3 linked regions of the Drosophila melanogaster genome follow. The gene in region 1 interacts genetically with each later gene. Each region holds a gene or a part of one and is shown on either strand. Other genes may lie near its edges. The genes, in order: htl, stumps and ush.

Region 1 (6,699 bases):
AAAATGTCGCGCACATTTCCGGTAACTTGTTCAGCATTTCTCGTATACCCGTTTCTGATTTTTGTCCAGCGCGTGCCATAAATTAAAAATGGTCCAGTGGAATGAGCTCAGAATGTACATATAACAACAAATACTGATGGTTTTCATCTTTTACGCGTTGCATATTTTATCGATTTTCAAAATAGCTTTATGGCCACACAAAAATGTTTCGGCTGGCACTCTTTTTAATACCGTCATAAAATAACGACCTGTCTTTTCGTTTACCTTTTTGGCGTTGGAAAATTCTTTTCAACTTGTTGTCAGTTTACTTAACGATGGGATTCTATATATACACATACACTGCGCCCTAAAATGTGATTCTATTTTTCGCACAACTCACTCACGTTTTTCCGATTTTCTAGAAGGGATTGCGCAGATGTGTCTGCCGACTTTTGCGCTTTTCAAATTCGAAATTTTGTGAATTTTTACGGAGCCAAGCGAAAAACTGTTCCAAATTGGTCCGCGTAGTCCGATGTACTGAATATGCCCAATGCCAATTCCGATTCCAATTCTAGTGGTGATCGCGACTATTCCGATTCTCTACCTCTCTTAAATCTCCCACACTCTCTCTCTCTCGCTATCTCTCTTTAACTCCCCGGATCCGATCGCCCTTCTCTCTTTCACCATCTCTCTCCCACACACAATGTCCTACTCAATGCGCCGGCGTCGGAAAAGGCGACTCAATTTAGTGGGCCCTCGAGTCGCTTCCACTTTTGCCGTTATATTTCCAATGCCTAATACCCTGTAATGTAAGGGTGAAATGGGTTATGCACGGGTTTGATCAAATAAGCAATCGAAGTGATGATATGATCATAAGAGTAAAGCGTTGAAAGCTTCGTGCATCGATATTAAGATCCTTTTTAAACAAATCTTTTTTTGTGAAATTATTCAAGTACTAAGTATAATATATAGATGATATACATTTGTTACCTAATGGCATGATTGGTATATATTGGTATATCATTATAAAGGACATTTTTTTTTTTTCGAGTAAAGTCGAGTTGCCAAATTGCCAGGTATGCTATAGTCAATAAATTGACAAGCTCGCTTTTTCATTCACATTGCGGTTCTGTTCTGTTTGGATGGTCGTTGCCTTTAGCGTCCCGCATCTTTTCGCTTTCAACGGCAGCCTTAATTTTCCACACATGCCAGCCCCGTCTGGCTTTGTATCTCAGTATCGGCGGTATCTCTCAGTTTGCACTGGGTATTACTCTCATCTTTAATTAAAACAGACACAGTTTCTCTCCGCGTTCTGGGTCTGATCTTTCCAGTCCGCATTCAACATTCAGCCCACATCTGGCGGACAAAAAAAAATTAAAGAAATTAAAAGCAACAAAAATAACGGCCGGCGGAGAAGACTACTGTGTTCAGTTGTCTCTGTTCTCCCGCCCCCGTCGCCACGCCCACAGTCAGAGTCAGAGCAGAGACAAGGGCAAATATTGTTTCGGCTTGCATTTGTTGCTCTATTGTTGACTGCAACATGTGGGCACATCATCAGCATCGAACATACACGAATGTACATATACGTATGTCTACCTAAGATCGTGCCACATGTGTTGCACAGACATTGTCGTCGATTCTCGAGGGGAAGTAGCGACTCCAGCGTCTAAATGATGGGGTTATCCGAAATGTTGACTTCCAGGAAGGCATCCGCCAAATCGGAAACTGCCAAAAATTGTATATATGTTTGGTATTCTATCTCCACCCTCCGACCTTCACCTCCATCGATAATGAGCGCGCAATTTTAGTATATGTATGTATTTCCTGTGCCGTCCAAAATCGCCCGATTTATAAACAAACACGTTCCGGAAAGTATTTGCAAAGTATACAAACATTGCACGGTATATGTACATTTCCCATCGAATTGAAATCGCCGGTCACTTGGCGCATCCATTTCAATCGCACGGGTTGACCCGCAATTGACGCACTTGGCGGTTGCCCCGCTGCCGCTCAGTGTATCCGATACCAAGTCGAGACCGGCACGAGTCTGTTATTTCGCACGGTTCGTCGGCAGGTTCCACCAGCCATCAGCCACCCAATGCCAATCCCATCCAGCCATCCATCCATCCATCCATCCCCACCCGTTCATCTAGTATATACCATTCAGTACGTGACGGCGAGAAGGTTGCATCCCATGGGGTAAACGAAAAGAAGCAGATGGAGCGAAAGGTCGATTGTGGCAAGTCGACTTTATCAAAAACGCGAAGCTACGTTAAATTATCACAAAGTATATGAGTAGTGAACTATTGATTCGATTTACATTTCAGAAATATAAAGCACGCAGCGATTTATATAAAGAACGTTCAACAGATTTAGTTGAAATAAATATGTGCTATTCTTAAATTGTTGCAAGCTTTACTTATATATTTGTAAATTTGCCATTTAGAGCTTTAAAATTTTATTAGTACTCACAAACATTTAGACAACAAAATCCATTATAAAAGTGCTGTAGCATTGATAAGCTTAAGCTATAATATATTATAATACCAAAAAATAACATTATTACTTTATTGTTGACATAAATCTATTTCTAAATCGAAATCTTTATTTGGTAAACACTGATTTTATGATAAACTCTCATGAAAACATTTAATATTATATAGCAAGCATATATTCTCGTGACATTTGTACTTTAACATCATAAAGATCAAAGGATCATACCGAAAGTCTGCGTGGATCCCACCTGAGATGATATGGGAACAATACCGGGAACTGGCCGCACAATTAGCTAAACAAACCTAACCTTAATTATCATTCATAAATAAATTGCAGAGAAGGGAGGCGAAAAGTAAGAAGCGTCTTCGGTTGTCGGCCAGCAAATTGAGTGATTGCCAAAGGCAACAAAACAGAAGCCGAATCACCTAGAAGATGGCATCGTAAAGCTAACCGACCGACAAAACAGATACCCGATAAATATATATATATACATATATATACACACAGATAGCTATATCTTTAGCTATATACTCACTCAGATATAGAGCAAGTCGGACAAAGAGCAGACAAGTTGAAATGTTTGTTTACGCGGCTAGAAAATATTGCATGTTCCTATACCGTCTACATTCTAGAATCTAGACTCTAGATGATACGATATATGCTATATGCTGTTGGTTAATAAACAAAATCCCATTCTAAGGGAGCGTTGGAATATAACAGAATTATGAGTTTGAAATATTTTCCCGAGCTCTGGGGCATCGGTTGGCTTGTAAAAGCAAATAAATAAATATAAATTAGAATGGGAACCCTGTGGAAAAGTGCTTTCAATTTGAGCATGTACCATAGCAGAACCGAATGGAATAAATAAAAAATAAAAAAAACAGATACTATGGGGAGCCCACAACTGTCCATATTCACTGTATTATTATGGGGTAGCCAGAGAATAGATAATTGAACGATTGACTACACACACACACAGCGGGATAAACGACACAAATTGCTTTGGAACCGAACCACTGCACATTTTACACTTTTTGGCCTTTGGGTTAAAAAGTCAAATTGCTGTGCGCGGTCAATCAAAAAGTGGATCAAACAAATGATTTGCGCAACTACGCAAAAAAAACCAAAAACAAAATAAACTAAATTAAACGATGCACGGTGTGTATTTTTAAAGACTTACCTCACAAAGTGCGTTGCTCCACGAACAAAAAAAAAAAAATGCCAAAAAGCTTCTTGCCAAATATCCACCAAAGTGTCTCTGCGTTGGAATTTCTCCTTGCCTTCGTCTAAATTGTAAGTCTTTCACTAAAAACACAATTGGGAAAGTTCACAGAATTCGAGAATGTTTCCACTTAAAATTCCAGAAATGTTTTAGTACGCATTTATATGGCACTTAGGCACTTAAACAGAACCAGAAACCGTTGCACACTTGACTCTGTTTTGTTTCTTTCCATCCACAAAATGTGTGCGTTTTCACCAAGAGGCATTACTAATAATTATTAGTATAATTATATTATATGGCGTTATTACGCGTTCAATCGATCGATCGTTCGCTCTAATTTTCGACGATTTTTCACCGATTTTCCAACGATTTTCCAACCGATTTTCCAACGATTTTCCTCCGATTTCGCCTACTGTAACGGCACGCAGTCCGATCGCAACTGAGTCAAAAAAAAGCAAGCGAACCGAACAGAACCGAGCCAGCTCTGCGAAATAAATCTCTTCAATTAAATGAGGGAACAAATGAAACGAATTCACATTTCCCCCATCAACTTCAACATGCTGGAGAACACATCTCTGCAATGTATTTTTGCGGCAGGCGCGTAAACAAATACAGAAAACACACAAAATTGAACGGAACGCCAGCCACACATTGTATAATCCGCAGCCAAAGAGAGGAAGGGTCGAAAAAGCGAGGGGTTGGGTATGCGGTATATGTATGTATGGTACTATATGGTATAGGGGCCCCTATACCCTATATATGGGGGACCCACACACACACACACACAAGTGTGTAGCTGAGTGGCGGCCTTCCCTTGGAAAGTGAAATGTAATTGAGTGCACAGACCGCACTCGTTCTAAAATTCGTTCAATTGAGTCGAATGGAATATCTCAAAGATATTCTAACGCACAATATGTTGCATAGTTTCGAGCGCAGCGAGGAAATTCATGAATTTCATTATGAGGGTGCAAAGAAGATGGGTAGTTGTCAAAAAGATTCCTTATATTCAGATCAATTATTTATGTAGTTATAATTGGTTTGATGGATCATGCTTTATTAAAAAGAATAGCTAACTTATCTTAGTCAGAATAGATCAGTCACTTGAATTTAATTATTATTATTTTTTAAAAAGATTTATGGCCTATGAGGGCCTAAGATTCTACTGACAAATTCTTTGCGCATTTCTTTGCGCTTCGTTTGAGGCGGAAAATGCGGAATGAGATTCATTAGCCAACACAATAGCTCGCTAAGTAAGTTAGCAGTTATTAATTATGAGCTACTTATAGCCAATGTCAAATGGCCAACAGACACATAAGAACCAGTAGCCAAGTGGCGATGGAAGAAAGCCCCTCTAATGAATGACACTCGTGGTGAAAAGGCCATCAAAGCACACACGCTGTGCGCCAAAGACAATGGCATCGTTTAGCGTTTGTCTCTATGGAGACACCAAAAATAACGAAAAGGGTTAGCCAAACAATGGACAATGACGCAGGGGGGATTTTGGCCGAAAATCGAAAACAATTAACGATTATTGACCATCAATTGTGGCCGACGGGACCCGTTCAGTGCCAAATGGCGTTACGCCTGACTGATTAATTGATGCTCCACGGCGGAATTGGGAGGGAGGATCCCCATGAGTGGTTAGCATAGTTTCAACAGTTAACAACCTCGTAAAGCCGCAGAGAGACCGGGGAAAGCACGGGTTAAAGACGGCCACCGATCAGTGTGTATGGTCATAATACTTAAATTTTATGCACTCCTGGGCAAGCCTCCTGGCTCCAACCTGGCTCCAAACCGGGCTCCTCTTGGCTACCCAAAAGTGCTTCTCCTCGAGGCTGCCGATCGCAGCTTCAGCTTCCGTATGGCTTTTCAATTTGGCCAGAACGAAACGCAAGTTGTTAGCGTTTCGAGCATAGAAATAAATATTGGGAAATTGGCTCAAAGTCTGGTTGGTCGAGCCTTTGGCCATTTGGCTCTGGGAATCTGCGAATGGGAAATGAAAAATCGGGAACGGTAACAGGCTTTTGGAGACACGATCTTCGAGTTGGGCGACACGATCTGCAGCCATCTCGCAGATCGCAGCTCGTCGAGATCTCGTGCAGAGCAGCCAAACAGCATAAAGTTAATTGCTAATATGATTAATTGCACATTAACATGAATTTTTATAGCCAATTATATGCGAAATATGCCAATGAGAAACGCTTTCGACCAGCGGATTAAACAACCAAAAAATAAGTTAACTGCTAGACTTATTCAGTTGCAATAGATAAACAGATGGGCTATTGAAGCTGTCAATGAAAATAAGGAAGAGCAATATATTAACTTTTGCTAGGTGACTTGGGAAATCAATTAAATTTTGGGATTAGTAGATTAAGATTAAGAAATTGAGTTGAATGTATTTATTGTATCATATGGGCTCAAATAAGTTAGGCCTGCAAAACATTGATTCATCATTGCCTAGAACCAAAAACCCGCTTAAAACCAGACCAATTCGATGGCTCCATTCGTTGGCGATGTCGATGATAATTTATGCATCAACTGTGCGTGGCAATTTGGCATCTTCGCAATCCAAACCGAGTGGGTTGCTGCTGGCAGGCGAAATTATGCGGGTGTGTTTGCATTTGCCACAAGAGCAGGCAAATAGCAAAATAAATGAAAATGCAATAAGCCTCGAGACAGGCGGAAAGCAAAAATCAAAAATGCGAGAAAAAACAAAACAAAAGCCCGAAATCGAATTTCCAATCACTCAAAAACTATTGGAGATTCGAATTTGAATTATTGGCTCCACCTTGCCAGCACCGCGCCATTTCCGGTCTTAAATCTTTGAGCGCGTGAGCTAATCATAACTTACAATGTGGTCCGGCAATTTGACAGGCTGTTGGCCTTTTTTTTTCTTCTTTGGTTTAGACCCAGAGTTGGCCAGTTGGCCTGCCACAGAGATGGGTGTTCGGGTATCCAAGCGGAGGATCATGGCTCATGGATCATGTGGGGCTGGAAATTGT
Region 2 (6,538 bases), 3.5 Mb from region 1:
GAAAACCAAAAGGGTAGAGTAATATCTTTAATAATCCAAACCTCTGTTGGTAAGACCAAAATGCATCTTTGTAGGTAGATGTACAATATATATTCACACCCTATTGAACTTTTCCATAACTGACCCCAGAGAACAACAAAAACACGGGGAATTTATTGAACTCTAGGCGGTGCGTAGTAGTGATTAACCCGTCAACACCGATGAACAATCAGCGAAAGTGCAGCGAATGGCGCCCAATCCCCGTGGCAAGGGAAATGGAAACTCAGCACAAAGCCGGGTTGGGATGCTCCACTCTGTGACTAACTAGACAAAGCCGCGTTGCAGTAGAGCGTCTACAGATTTACGACTCGCCAGTTGAGTCCAGATCCCCCTGGCAGACCCTCCTCGTCCGCGGAACACGTGGAGCGTGCTGGCGAAGACAAGCATTTGACATTTATGTGCAGCAAATGCATTTGCCCAAGTACTCGAGCAAGGCAATCGGCTGCAAGTGCAAGTACCCTAGTGGTTCAAGATCATTTGCATCCAGCAGCAGCCAAACAAATACGTTTGCACTGGGAGAAATATTTAAAATGTTTAAGAAACTCATTACATTTGTTAATATCTTAACTTTTCAGGATATAACATGCTAAGTGTTATATTATATAACATTAAAGTTATTTCTGCCAGTGTAACGTTGCAGAGTCACTTGCTCCGCAGAGAGCCGCCACTCAAAGATCAACCCTCGATGGCAGACTCTCGCCTTTATGGACTACGAAATGTGCAATTTCTGCTCGGGTACCGAGTTTTACGATTTTTCCATAGGTCCCAATATGCCGGGCATCTGTGTGGTAGGGGTTATTTGGTTGTTGGCCCAGTATCGATGGCAGGCCCGATTTTAGACCCAGTCCACTTAGGAATTCCACGGACAGACCACATGGACTCTCTAGCATTTTGCCACTTCAGTTGTTGCTTCAGTTTCAGTTTTTTTTTTCCTAGTTGCACTGGGGAAAAATGTGAAAATGTGTTCCCTTAGCACAATTGTTGCTCTCCCCTGGCTGCAATTTTTAATGTGCCTTTTCCGATGCGCGTTCTTTTTTTTCTGCCTTTGATGCTCTCGAGTTTCCCCTAATGTGGCTGGAATATGTCGCCTGGCCATAGCTTCTATTATGGCCTTCTATTTTCGGCCCAACATTGATGACAATTTTCATATTTGCCATAAAGTCGAAAGGCAAATATTGCGTATCTTCAGGACAATTGAAGAAATGCTCCAAATATGAGTTTACTTTATGCTAATATATTAATATACAGCGTAAGTAATCATCATATTTTTGATGAATTTCTGGCATCTGTATCATCAAACATCCTAAAACTCTTTGTATAATTTTTTTTTTTTGTATTTTTTCCCATGATATTTTGGAAGATTAATTCTCCCACCGCTCTGCGAAGGTGAGTTCTCATGGTCCCTCCCGAAAAACGTCTCATAAATGTTTCCTGACAGTGAACATCATCGAATTGAAGACCAACCCAACCACAGACAACACTCGGCGCACAAACTCAAACTTTGACACTGATAGAACATGGGGAATACTAAACCGGGGGGCTCACCTCAGATGCTACAATATATATGATGATGGTATATGCTATGTGCGCCACATCAAGTTGGCTTATATGCTAGATGGGTCTTCTATTTCTGCTATCGGAACTCATCAAATATGCACGACGAGACCAAGACAAAACGTACGCTCACGGATGGAAAATGGGAAAGGGACAGGAGACAGGGACAGTGGACAGGGGACAGAGGACAGGGAATCATGGATATCATGGAAATCATGGACTCGGAGCGCGCTGGCGATGATAATTTGATCATGCGAAAAGCGCACGCAAAAGAAAAACATGCGCAGGTACAACAACAAAGTCGTTGTAGTCGAGGAAAAGTGAGTTTTCCTGATCGCCGATCGGTTTCTAGGGGTGGGGGAGTACCGAGTGGGTGATGGCAATATGGCAACCATATTTAAACACTGATCCCGTATGCGTGTGTGCGTGCGCGGGCGGGAGCGAGATGGGGTGAGAGTGCGAGGGAGAGATGCAATGTTTTTATGCTGCTGCCGATGTCGCTGCACTGTGAGAAAATAAGAGATGAGAATTGATTGATCTCTCAAAATGATGTACAAATTTATTAGTGAAGACACAGAAACAGACATAAAGAAATCAAATTTACCGATTAAATATTATTATTTTATTTAATTAATGTATCCAGTTCAAAATCTTGTGGTACTTATTTCAAGTAATTTTTTGTATCTGAATTTATTAAGAAAATTATGCCTAACAGTTTCGCTTAGAGAATTCGAAAGAAAATATTAATATGAGAAGGTGGGATTTTTCGGTATATTTATTTTTATCAGTGCACGCTGAGAATGGGAATGGATGAAGAAGTGCGCGTATGGTAAATAAAAACCAAAACACGAGGAGGGATTCTCTGCGTCGGCAGAGACGTCGACAGAGACATCGGCGGTGGCAGAGGAAAATGCAGACGGCGCGGAGTGTTTTGTTCTCGTTGAAGTTTTAGAATTTATTCCGTTTCGGGATGTCAATGCAGACGCACGCACTGCGCGAACTCAAGTGAACTGAAGTGAAATATTAAGTCGAACCATCACGAACTTGCATTGCCGCCTAAATTTGAATTTTGAATTTATTTGCCCCGTTTTTTCAAACTGACAATTTGTTAAGTTGCCATTTGTGGCACTCCCCGTTGTGATTTCCGTTTACGGTTTCTCGAATTCGCGCCCTGTGCGCAACTTTTGGCGCGTGCGCATGCGCAGCCAGTGAAAGTGCAAATGCATCGCAAATCAGAGCTCTGAATTGTGGTAGACTCTGCGAATCGCATATCAACTAAGGAAAAATTCACTGCATAAAGGATCTCAAGATGTTTGTCACTGTGGATAACACAAACACCTTCTTCTCAGGTAAAAAGAGTGAAAGAGTTTCTTAAAGACTTTATAAGTTTCTTTATGCGAAAAGAATTGTAACAAATATCAAAGTTTTAAGTTAGAAAGTATGAGCAAAAGCGAAAGATTATACAAAGATACAGAGATTCATACAGATTAAAAACGTACATATATGATATTAAATAAATGTTATTTATTATACTTTATAAGCACATCCTCAAACTTTGATAAGTTCAAATCAGAAAACTAACTCCATTCCTCATTCATTCTATTGCAATTGAACTCCCCAGACAACCCGTATTACTTTTGCAATGAAACCAAGTCGCCGCGCACCCCGGACTCGCAGTCCTCCAGCCGGGGATTCTCGATCTTCAAGCGGCGCAACTCGAAGGGCAGCAGCCCCCGGCCGCTGGTGATGACCAATCCGGAACAGATGCGACTGATCACATCCGCCAATCTGGATACCACGGCTACCATGGCATTAGGAAGTCCGCGGGGCAGCTTCAATTCCCTCGCCGGCTATCCGCAAGTGAGTAGCGATTTAATAGAGCATATTCCGATCTCCGATTTCGGAATACTGATTCTGATTTATCTGCTGGATCTGCCACTTCCTGTGGAGTCGAGTGAGCCCTTCTAATGTGCCGTCCTCTTCCGTTTTGCGCATTTCAGCACGCGATTGAACTGCAGACGATGAACATGTACCGCCAGCGATCTGCAAATTCGCACTCAGAGTTCCGGGAACGCCTGAATTCTTGCAACGAGACCCACAGCTCCCAGTGTCCCGGAGGAGGAGGTGCATCCGTAGCTGGGGATCACGACGAGGTCTTCAATCCGCTGACATCGCCAACAAGGTGAGCAATCCCCAGAATCGAGCATTTAATGGGGAGGGTGAGGTGATGACAGGATGCGATTGCAGCTGTTGACAGTTTCGAACCGCCCCCTTTTCCGCCCATGCTAATCGTGCGCCCTTTCTTTTCTCCCCCCACCCCCCATCTTTGCGACCAATCCTCAGTAGCAAATCGCATCGACATCACACCCTGCCAAGTGGCGGAACTCGTCGCCATTCCCTGGGAAACTGGGCCCAACATCAGCATCAACAGCAACATCAACAGAACTCTGGAGCAATGGGACTGGGATCTCCGGATGAGGTGCCCAGCATGATGGCGCCTCGACCGCCGCTCCTCTCGCCAAACAAATTCCGCGGCAGTTCCCATCGACGAAGAGGTGAGTTGACGTTCCACGACACTTGCATTTCCCATCTGCTCAGTATGCCACGGGGCAATCGCGAATTCCTATGCTAATCTGGGCTCAATAAGTAGAAGTAATCCATGTAAATGGAAATCGTTTAGCAAAGTTTTCAGATAATAGAAAAGTCGATAGTTGACAGCAAACGTATATGGATTATAGGATATGGCTGTTATGTCCCTAAAGGAATAAATTTTGGCTCACAAATTTTTAATTTTCTTTGAGAGCTATTTTTTAAATATCTGCTTATTGCTGTGTTATTTAATTTACTCGAGTCTAATATACTTTTAGTTATTTTAATATGCCCCACAAGTTCAGCCGACGCAGTGACAAAGACAAAGTGGTTGCAAATTGCATTCCCTGCCCTCGTTTCGCGTTCGCATTTTTGCACTTTGGCGGCTGTCAGGCGTTCACTCCCCTTTGCCTGCTACTCCATTTTCATGCCCCAAAAGTCCTCCCTTCTGGGGTTTTCCCCCCTGTTGACTCCTCCAGTGGCTGCCCAACAACCTTTACCTCGCAGCTTTGCATCACGTTTGCATATTAAGCGCAACTGCCAGCTCTTCGGAATTTGTTTTTTCATTTTTCGCCTGGCAGGCGCCATGGAATTGGGTCCACTACCCAGCCCCTTTCAGTTCGCCCTCACATTTAAACCACGTTAACAACATTGCAATGTTTACGCAAGTGATAATTGTAATAGTATTTTGTCGCCAGAGCGTCGCCAATCTTTGTTTTGGCATTGTTTTTCCCCGGCAGTGGAGTGGAGCTTCTGTTTGCCTTCGATTTTGTGGCGTAATGAGGGGATCGCATATAGCCGATCGAGCGTATATATAGCTGATTGTTGGCAACGCGCCTTCCTGGCTGACTGACATTTCGCGACTGGCCTGACATTGACAGTCCTCCGTGTGATGGATGCCCCTAAAGTGGGCAGTTGCATGCAAGATGGAAAGGCCTCCTGGTTTACTCGTATGTCCAGCAAAAGTCACAGGTTTATGGTTTATGAGTCGCTCAGGACTCCTTTGCACGATCATTGTGTATTCATCATAAGCGTTTTCAAGGTTTCGCTTTCATGACATCTGATGATTTAAGTTGATTTAAGGCACTTCGTGTGACGTTTAAATCCAGCGCGATTTTCGAGTCTCAAAAGAGATGAGAAATAAGTAGTAGATGAGATACTGAGGAGTGTTTCATACATAGAAATTCAGAGCATGTAGATCTGCTTTAGAAGTGCCGCAATTTATTAGAAGTGTGCCATTAAAGTTTTTACTATTATAAAAACAATAGATTCTTTCCCTTATTGTTATTGTTATCAATTATAATAACGGTTGCCCACAGCGCCTTATTCTAAAAATGATCACCCACCATATTCGACACACTTATCGCTATGGTCACTTGCAATCCATTCGAATCTTTCGCCATATGCAGGAAACTAGGCAATTCGCCTCAATCGGCAATTAACCCACAACACCCACGAACAATTCATTTCTAACACCTAAATTTATGGCAAAGTAAAAACAAACCGAACCGAATATCTCTGCCATATTTGCGAGTGTCCCACTGCAGTTGCCAGTTCGATTGGCATAAGTTATACGCATTTCCGCTCTTTCAATAACAATGGCCATTGCATTTTGTTATTATGTTGCTGGCAACGGGGCGGATGGGCAACATGGGCGATATTGGATGTGCGGATGGTGGAGTCAACAAACGAATCGCTTGACGTGGGCGGTGGGTGTGGCCGCATGAGGAGCATAAATTGAAGAACTGCACATCCAATAAGGCACAACCAACTGGCTGGAACGGAACACGGCATAATTGATGGGCGGACTCCGACTCCCCGGTACACATATGTACATATACCTAAACCTATAGATATGTATGCTTCAAACGTGTTAATGGCACGGAAGCGAGAGAAAAAAGGGGAGTTGGGTGGCCAACTGCTTTGCATACGGCGCGTGCCAACCAAAACGATTGGCCAAATTTGGCCCTCCATCGACCATACCGAGAAATTGGCAGCACAAACTGTGAATACATCAAAGCTGCGCTGGGCTGTTTACGTTGGCCATGTTTCCTCTTCGGCTTTTCCAATCAAAAGCGCTACGGAGTCAATAAAACTGGCTGCCGTGGTGGTGGAGTGGAACAAAAAGTGGCCAGCAATGTGCCATTTATCAATTTTACACTGTTTTAATTGCACCAGTCGCTGCGGAATGTAGCAGGTGATTTGGGGTCAGCAATGCAAGAACAGAAGCAATGCATTCTGCTCTTTTCCGATTTTCCACTGCACAAATGCACTTGTTTACCCCTTTGTTCTGCCCCCAAAACGTCTGGCTTCTGTTTTCAATTCTCGGAACATCTGCTCATCAGATTACGCAGAG
Region 3 (6,643 bases), on another chromosome or scaffold:
AAAATAAAACTTAAACTTTTCAGAGATCTGCATCTAATCTAGCTGCTCCCATGCTACCCCTGAATACCCTACACGGCCTGAACAGTCGCCCCACAAGTCTGGTGTGGGGTATGGCGTGCTAGTTATTCGTTGTTGTTGCGCAAGAGAGCGCCAATAACCACAGCTGTTTCTGCCGCTCGCTCTTTGGTGTGTGTGCTCTGTGTACGAGCCCCTTTTTGCTTTGAAAACTGTTACAGGCGAAACGCGAGCATTGCCAGGTAGAATTTACCCGTGTCCTAGGAGGGTTTTCAAACAAAATAAATGTAATCAATTGACGACTTAATTGAGTTACATGCATTCACTGGTGGTGAATAAGAGGATTTTGAAATGCCTGCTTTTCGTGACTCATCTTTGTTATCTCCCAGTTTCTTGGGCCTGGCAATGCTCCCCGTCAACTGTTGAGCTCCCATACTCTCCTGCTTTCGCACTATGCCTTTCGTTTATTAATGAAATCCGTGTCTGCTTAAAGTCAGACTTCCAAAGTTAATGCAAATATATGCGGCCAGGTCTTAGATTTCAGCTTGAGGGGCGTCTGCCAGGTTTCGAGCCAGTTTTAAAGTATTTTTTCAGCCGATTATTCACAGACTTCCGTGGCAACAACTACGTCAGCTACTCAGACACGGCTTTGGGGTGTGTCTGTGAGTGTGTCGGTTGGTGTGCGCTGTGCACGCGGCTGGGGCATGCACAGCCCATGAATAGACAGCCGATGGAGCCCCACACCCTCCCCAGCTCCTCCTCTACTGACCCGTTCTCTATAGCACCAAACACAAGACCCCGCAGTGAACAGCTGATGACGTCCATGCGTTGATTACGTGCTCTGCGGGCCTCTCTCCTACTGGCTGTGTGTCTGTGTCCTGCACAGAAAGAAATCGCTTCGGTGATTTTTTGGGTCTTCTCGGAAAAGATGGCAACATTTAAAATAGCCATACACTTTTAGAGAGTTTACTAAAAACGATTTGGGTTCACCTGAATCTCTTTTAACTTATTGCCAACCAACATTACAGTCTAAAATTGAGTTAACAGAGATGTCATTCTTTACGGGCTATTTTGTCCGGTGCACGTGGGTTGCTGAGAGGTGAGTGAGCAGGAGACCTGACCTTTTTCTTTTTTGCGCCCGAGAGAGAGGAGCCGAGGAGGTGCTGCCCACGTTGCTGGCTGATGTTCGTCCGGGTTACATTGCACTGGTTGCTCCACTGCCGATGACGATGGCCCGCTCACACACACTTGCCCGTTTCCAAGTGATTACGTCGTCGGCGGCTCCACTCACTCACACTTGCACAGCCTCTGCCGGCAGCGGCGTCGGCGGCGGCAGCTCTGCTGGGAGCTGAATGGCTTTGCCTTTTTCATTCGTCTCTTGAATTCCGAACGCAACGGTTCGCCTTCGCTCCAAAACGGCAAGCGGCACTTGAAAGCGCCAGTGCAAAGTTAGCTGAAGTGCAAAAATCTACACAAACTGAGATTAAACCAAGTGATTAGCCCCGGAACAAAACAAACAAACAAACACAGACTCTTCAATAAAAAAAAGAGAGTGCAACTGAAATTTGAAAGTGCAATGGACATGGATACCTTGCTACCTTCACCACCCGCAACGCCCCCACTAAGGGAAAACAAGTTGGAAATCGTAAGTGACCTACAAAGTGGATATATACAGTGTACGCTAGTGTAATTAGTGCTTATTGAGTGGGGATAGTGCATTCAAGGCAGCGGAAAATCAAACGGAATCGTACTTAGCTCGCTCTCGCTCCCACTTGCCGCGTTTCTAAAAACAAAGTGCCTCGTCCCGCTCGCACTCGCACACAGCCATGCGATCACGCAGCCAACACGCTTTCACGTGAACACCGCATGCACAGCGAGTGATGTGTGAGTGCGAGCGAGAGGCCGCAGCTGAACATTGGACTTGGCACCACTAGGAAAAAACAACAGAAAAGCAAAAGAGAGAAGGTGAGTTGCCAATTGGCAACTGTAGGCGAGCGGTGGAGTGTGAGAGGAAAGAGAGGGCCTAGCCAAAAGCTAGGCAAACAGGCCAAGCCCCAACCCATAAAACCATGTCACATTTCTGGCTCGTTTTTTATCTGGCCAAGAAAGAAACAAACAAACACTGTCGCACATTAGAGCGCAACGTGCCGAGCCCATAAAAAGATTTCGACGTCTTCGCACGAGTCATAATACACCCCTCGCATTCGCCTTCCCCATGAAATCACCCACCTGAGGCACGTCATAATAATACTGGTGGTGTGGCTGCATTTTCCTTGCATGCTTTTAGGCGCAATTTTTAAATGGTTCTAGAATATGCGCCGAAAACGCAACAGTTGCTCATGTTTTCATCCTTAAAAATTAAGTAGTGAAATTTGAAAAGTCCATATTAAGAACAGTTTTTAAAATTTTAAGACATTTTTTGTTTCTGTCAGGAGCACATCAATTTAAAGACTTTTATGTGGTCATCAATACAGTATTCACCTTTAACATTTACATACGTCTATAATTTAAAGCACAGCTGGCAGCAACAGTTAATGAGTAATATTCTGTCACCCCAAACGGCCTTTAAAAGAGTTCAAAAACCGCCAAAAACAAAGTTCCCTTGGCCTTTCGAAGGAGCATTGAACCTGGGGTTGGGCGGGGTATTGCAGGGTGTGTGAAGGTTAACGGTGAACGGCCTTGTCAGCCGCCGGCGTAATTAGCGAATTGCGAGGAAAAGTTATTGTGGGTCAATGCTGGTCAGCGAAAAGTGAATGGGACTGTGAATGTGAATGCACTCCTCAGAACATAAACTCGACAATGTTAACGAACTCTGACTAACCCTGAACTTGTTCTTTCCTTTTCCAGGTCGCCAAGGACGAACAACAGGTGAACGAGAATCTGCTAAAGGCAAAGCTCAAGCTGGTGGCCCAAAAGAGTCAGAAAAATGGAGGGATTATTACACCAAATCCATCGGACACGGAAGACGAGGCTCCCGAAATAGCGGTTCCCAACAAGAAACCCCGTTTGGAACAACCTGCTATGAGCATGACACCGCCGCCGGATCAAAAGCTGGACGATGATCAGAAAGCGGAAAGGGTTAGCGTCATCATGCGGGTCAACAGTTCTGGCGCTGTCTCTTCTAGTAGCCAAGACGAGAACTCATCTAGTTCCACCTCCTGCTGTAGTTCCTCTTCCAACACAAACACAAGTACAAGTTCAGTACCACCCACTGTGGAGGACGACTATCCAGAGGCCAATGTGTGGCGCAATCTCAAGTTCAAAATGAACAGAAAGCGTGCTGCAGAAGTGGCACTACCCCCAGTACAAACACCCGAGACACCAGTTGCGAAGCTTGTAACGCCACCTGCTCCAGCGGAATGCATCAAGGAGGAGGAAATAAAACCTATTCTGACACCGATATATGTTAGCCCAGTAGCTTCGTCTGCCAGCCAACTTATCCTGCTCAGCACAGTGGCCGCCCAACAGAGCCCCACACCCGTACCCAAAACGCCAACAATGTCCGAGGAGAAACTAACAACCAGAATTACGGCCGCCCAGGCGGCGGCCACCAGAAGTCGCATCTACGAGTGCAGTTTTCCCGATTGCGGCAAGAATTACTTCAAAAGCAGTCATCTGAAGGCCCACCAGAGGGTTCACACCGGCGAGCGACCCTTTATCTGCAAGTGGGAGAACTGTGACAAACGATTCTCCCGTTCCGATGAGTTGTCCCGACACAAACGGACCCACACCGGTGAAAAGAAATTCCAGTGCAGCGTCTGCCAGAAGAAATTCATGAGAAGCGATCACCTGTCGAAGCACGTCAAACGGCACAACAAGGACAAGGCGAACGGAGTGAATCGACATGTCTCCCTGGCCAACAACAACACATCAGCTTCGGTAGCGGCTTCCCTCTGCGATGCCTCGCTCCATTTGCGAGCGATAGCACCGGCGGGCTCCAGCGCTAGTTCCTCGCCCATCAGTTCCGCCAGCTTGCAAGTCTACAGCGCCCAAGATCTGCTGAGGCTACAGCAGCAGGCCAGCAGTTTCACCTTCGGCGGAACCCTGCTTCAAGTGCAGCGATGAGAAGAGCAATGCGAGCAGCATCAGAACCAATCTCAGCCCCACAGTATCGCCAGCTAAACAGAGATGAATTCCCACCAAATTTCAAAACAAATTAACATCTGAGTCAAATTCGAAATGCCTTCTCGCTCTCATGTAGCTGGTGTAGACTTAAGCTTAGTTAGGAGCTAGATCTTGTCACCGTTTTGTGCATATATCAACTTCAAATTCAATACGTAATACCCAAATCGGATAGATGCCACTTCTTTCCAGGAGCACACAGCACACTTCTTATCTAAGCGATCTTCTTCAGATTAATATTCTGAATATCCCTAGTGTTTGTACATACTATAAAGAGACGCATTCGGCGTCCAACATCTGTGATATTTAAGTTTTCTTAACTCTTTTCTATTGTACCATAGTTGTCAGTGTAATTCTCTTAAGCTAAAACACACACAATTGTATTTATTGCTAAATGTGAAAAAAAGAAAATGAAAACAAATAGAATAATGGATCATCGCACGATTCCAATCTCAACAAATGAAAATATACATATTTTCCAAAGAAAACTAAAGTTATTCTATGAATTGGGAGGGAAGCGTAATTGGGCAGAAGTCTATTGCGGTGACTTAATTTTTTTTTAGAATGACAAGCCCTATTCCAAATTGTTTATGCTTACCTTTTTAAAAATCTCATCCGACTGAAACAATTTGCAAAGTATGTAGCCCCATTTTGGTATTGAACTAAGTCTTGAGTGTGGAATGTTTTTTGCTTGATGAGTGGATGAGTGTGTTGTGTATATAGAAGGATGTTTCAATGCGGTGCAGCTCAATATTCTTTGAAATAATTGGTTTTATTTTATTTTAGCTATAAAAGCCATTTGTCTTATATGTTAAAATGTATTTACCCAAAACAGAGGGGCATTTTGGGAATCTAAAATGAAATTAAAATTTTCAATATCCATTGATTTAAAATTAAACAAGATATAAACTTACTAAACTTTCCACACTTTTTGCCCAGCGTAAATAGAAAAAATGTTTATAGTTGATTAGGCCGGATAGTTAGGTAAAACTTCCAACAAATATAAAAATATATCTAGAACAAAACAGAAATTAGAAAGATTTTAAAATAAATAGTAATTTTTTTGCAGCGTACGCACTTTTAGCTTAAGATTTAATGTTATAGTTGAATTTAACCAAATAGTTGGGCTAAACTCCCAGCAAAGTGGAAAGTTCACAGACTGCTCTGGGTTTCGATTGCGGGGAACACGCCTGTCGCACGGCCATCTCCCAGGTGTCCAACAAATGTGAGAGCGAGTAGTTCTTGGGCAACTTCGAGATGCGGGCAATGAGAGCTTGTTGCACCGTCTGCAGGAAGGGGGTGGCTGAATACTCCTGTTCCGCCAAGGAGCAGTCCGGAGCCTGCCACGGATATTCCTCCGGCACACTCACACTTACGGGCGGAACACTAGGCAACCTTTTGTCATCCAGGCAACAAATCAAGCGAATGGCCTTGTTGTTGATCTGTGACGTGGTGTCCAATTTCACTTTAAACTTGGTATCGAGCCTAGCAATTTCCCCTTGAAGCACATGTGGCACTTCCTGCTCAAAAGACGTGGACTTTTCTTCCACCCGAGGTCGCTTTGCGGGCACTGGAGCTGTTATATCCGTACCAAAGAGCAGCTCCAAAGTGGGTCGGAATGTGCGATACAATGTGTGATTTGCTACAGGACTTTGCAGCGTTGTATTTATAACCTCCAGCAATGGATTTGAGGATTTCTAGGTATAACGAAGAATATAATAAATTGGCCCGTTGGATGTAGATATACTTACACCAAACTGCTGGCCGGAATAGGAGATGAGATCCATCTTCTCAAGCGCTTTTTCACACTTAAGTAGAGTCTCCAGCGGCACGCGCTGTGTAGGATTGCAGAGAATCTCCAACAACTTGCTCATCTTTGTCATCTTCTCCACATCTATTAAAGAAGATATAATATTAGTTTTACGATAACATATACTTCGAGAATATAACTACTAGGAAATATATAAACCCGAGTAAGTTTGCATTAAACTTTTGTTTTTGGTTAGTTAGTCCTTGCATTTGGCCTCGCAAAAACGATTATATAATTCTTAAATTATATTATTTGACGCGGTTTATAGCATTTACAGCATTTCAGTAATCAGCAAACGATTTAAAAATGCAATAGCTGCGAAAAAAACGAAACGTGAGGGTATTATCTACTTACTGGTTCCGTCGTTACTGATCTTGGCAAGCATCCGCTTCAGTGGCTCAATGTACTTGGTCAGCTGCTTGTATTTCTCGCGGTATAATGCCTCCTCCTGGGGATTAAATGGACTGTTACCAGTAACCTGGCCAGGAGTGTTGATCGAGGCACTTGGAGACTGCTGCCGAATATTGCGCTGCGAATTCTGCATCTGCATCATCTGCGGACTGGACTGGGGAACCAGTGCCGGACTAGGAATCATATTGGGCGTGGGCATCTGCGGAGTCGGAGGTTGCTGTGTTGGCGTCTGATTGCCCACCACCAGCTGTTGCTGCTGTTGTTGCATTTGCTGAAGCTGCGCCT

The links.
Region 2: of htl (region 1) and stumps, changing one suppresses a phenotype caused by changing the other (phenotypic suppression), as found in Drosophila melanogaster (one study listed by BioGRID).
Region 3: of htl (region 1) and ush, changing one enhances a phenotype caused by changing the other (phenotypic enhancement), as found in Drosophila melanogaster (one study listed by BioGRID).

What each region holds. Positions count from the first base shown.
Region 1 is NT_033777.3:18,048,847-18,055,545, forward strand, and holds the start of htl (heartless), read right to left. Parts: upstream 4,139-6,699; 5' UTR 3,656-4,138; intron 521-3,655; exon of another isoform or gene 265-520; intron 1-264. UniProt on the Drosophila melanogaster protein: May be required for patterning of muscle precursor cells. May be essential for generation of mesodermal and endodermal layers, invaginations of various types of cells and CNS formation.
Region 2 is NT_033777.3:14,589,068-14,595,605, forward strand, and holds the start of stumps (stumps), read left to right. Parts: upstream 1-2,552; 5' UTR 2,553-2,902; coding exon 2,903-2,942; intron 2,943-3,214; coding exon 3,215-3,453; intron 3,454-3,593; coding exon 3,594-3,775; intron 3,776-3,936; coding exon of another isoform or gene 3,937-3,939; coding exon 3,940-4,148; intron 4,149-6,538.
Region 3 is NT_033779.5:474,424-481,066, reverse strand, and holds the start of ush (u-shaped), read right to left. Parts: upstream 4,848-6,643; 5' UTR 4,736-4,847; intron 4,622-4,735; exon of another isoform or gene 4,081-4,621; coding exon of another isoform or gene 2,863-4,080; exon of another isoform or gene 1,661-2,862; coding exon of another isoform or gene 1,592-1,660; exon of another isoform or gene 1,379-1,591; intron 1-1,378. Other genes in the region: cbt (cabut), read left to right, coding at 1,592-1,660, 2,863-4,080; MED15 (mediator complex subunit 15), read right to left, coding at 5,265-5,834, 5,889-6,031, 6,302-6,643. UniProt on the Drosophila melanogaster protein: Transcription regulator that modulates expression mediated by transcription factors of the GATA family such as pnr and srp. Represses transcription of proneural achaete-scute complex (AS-C), which is usually activated by pnr.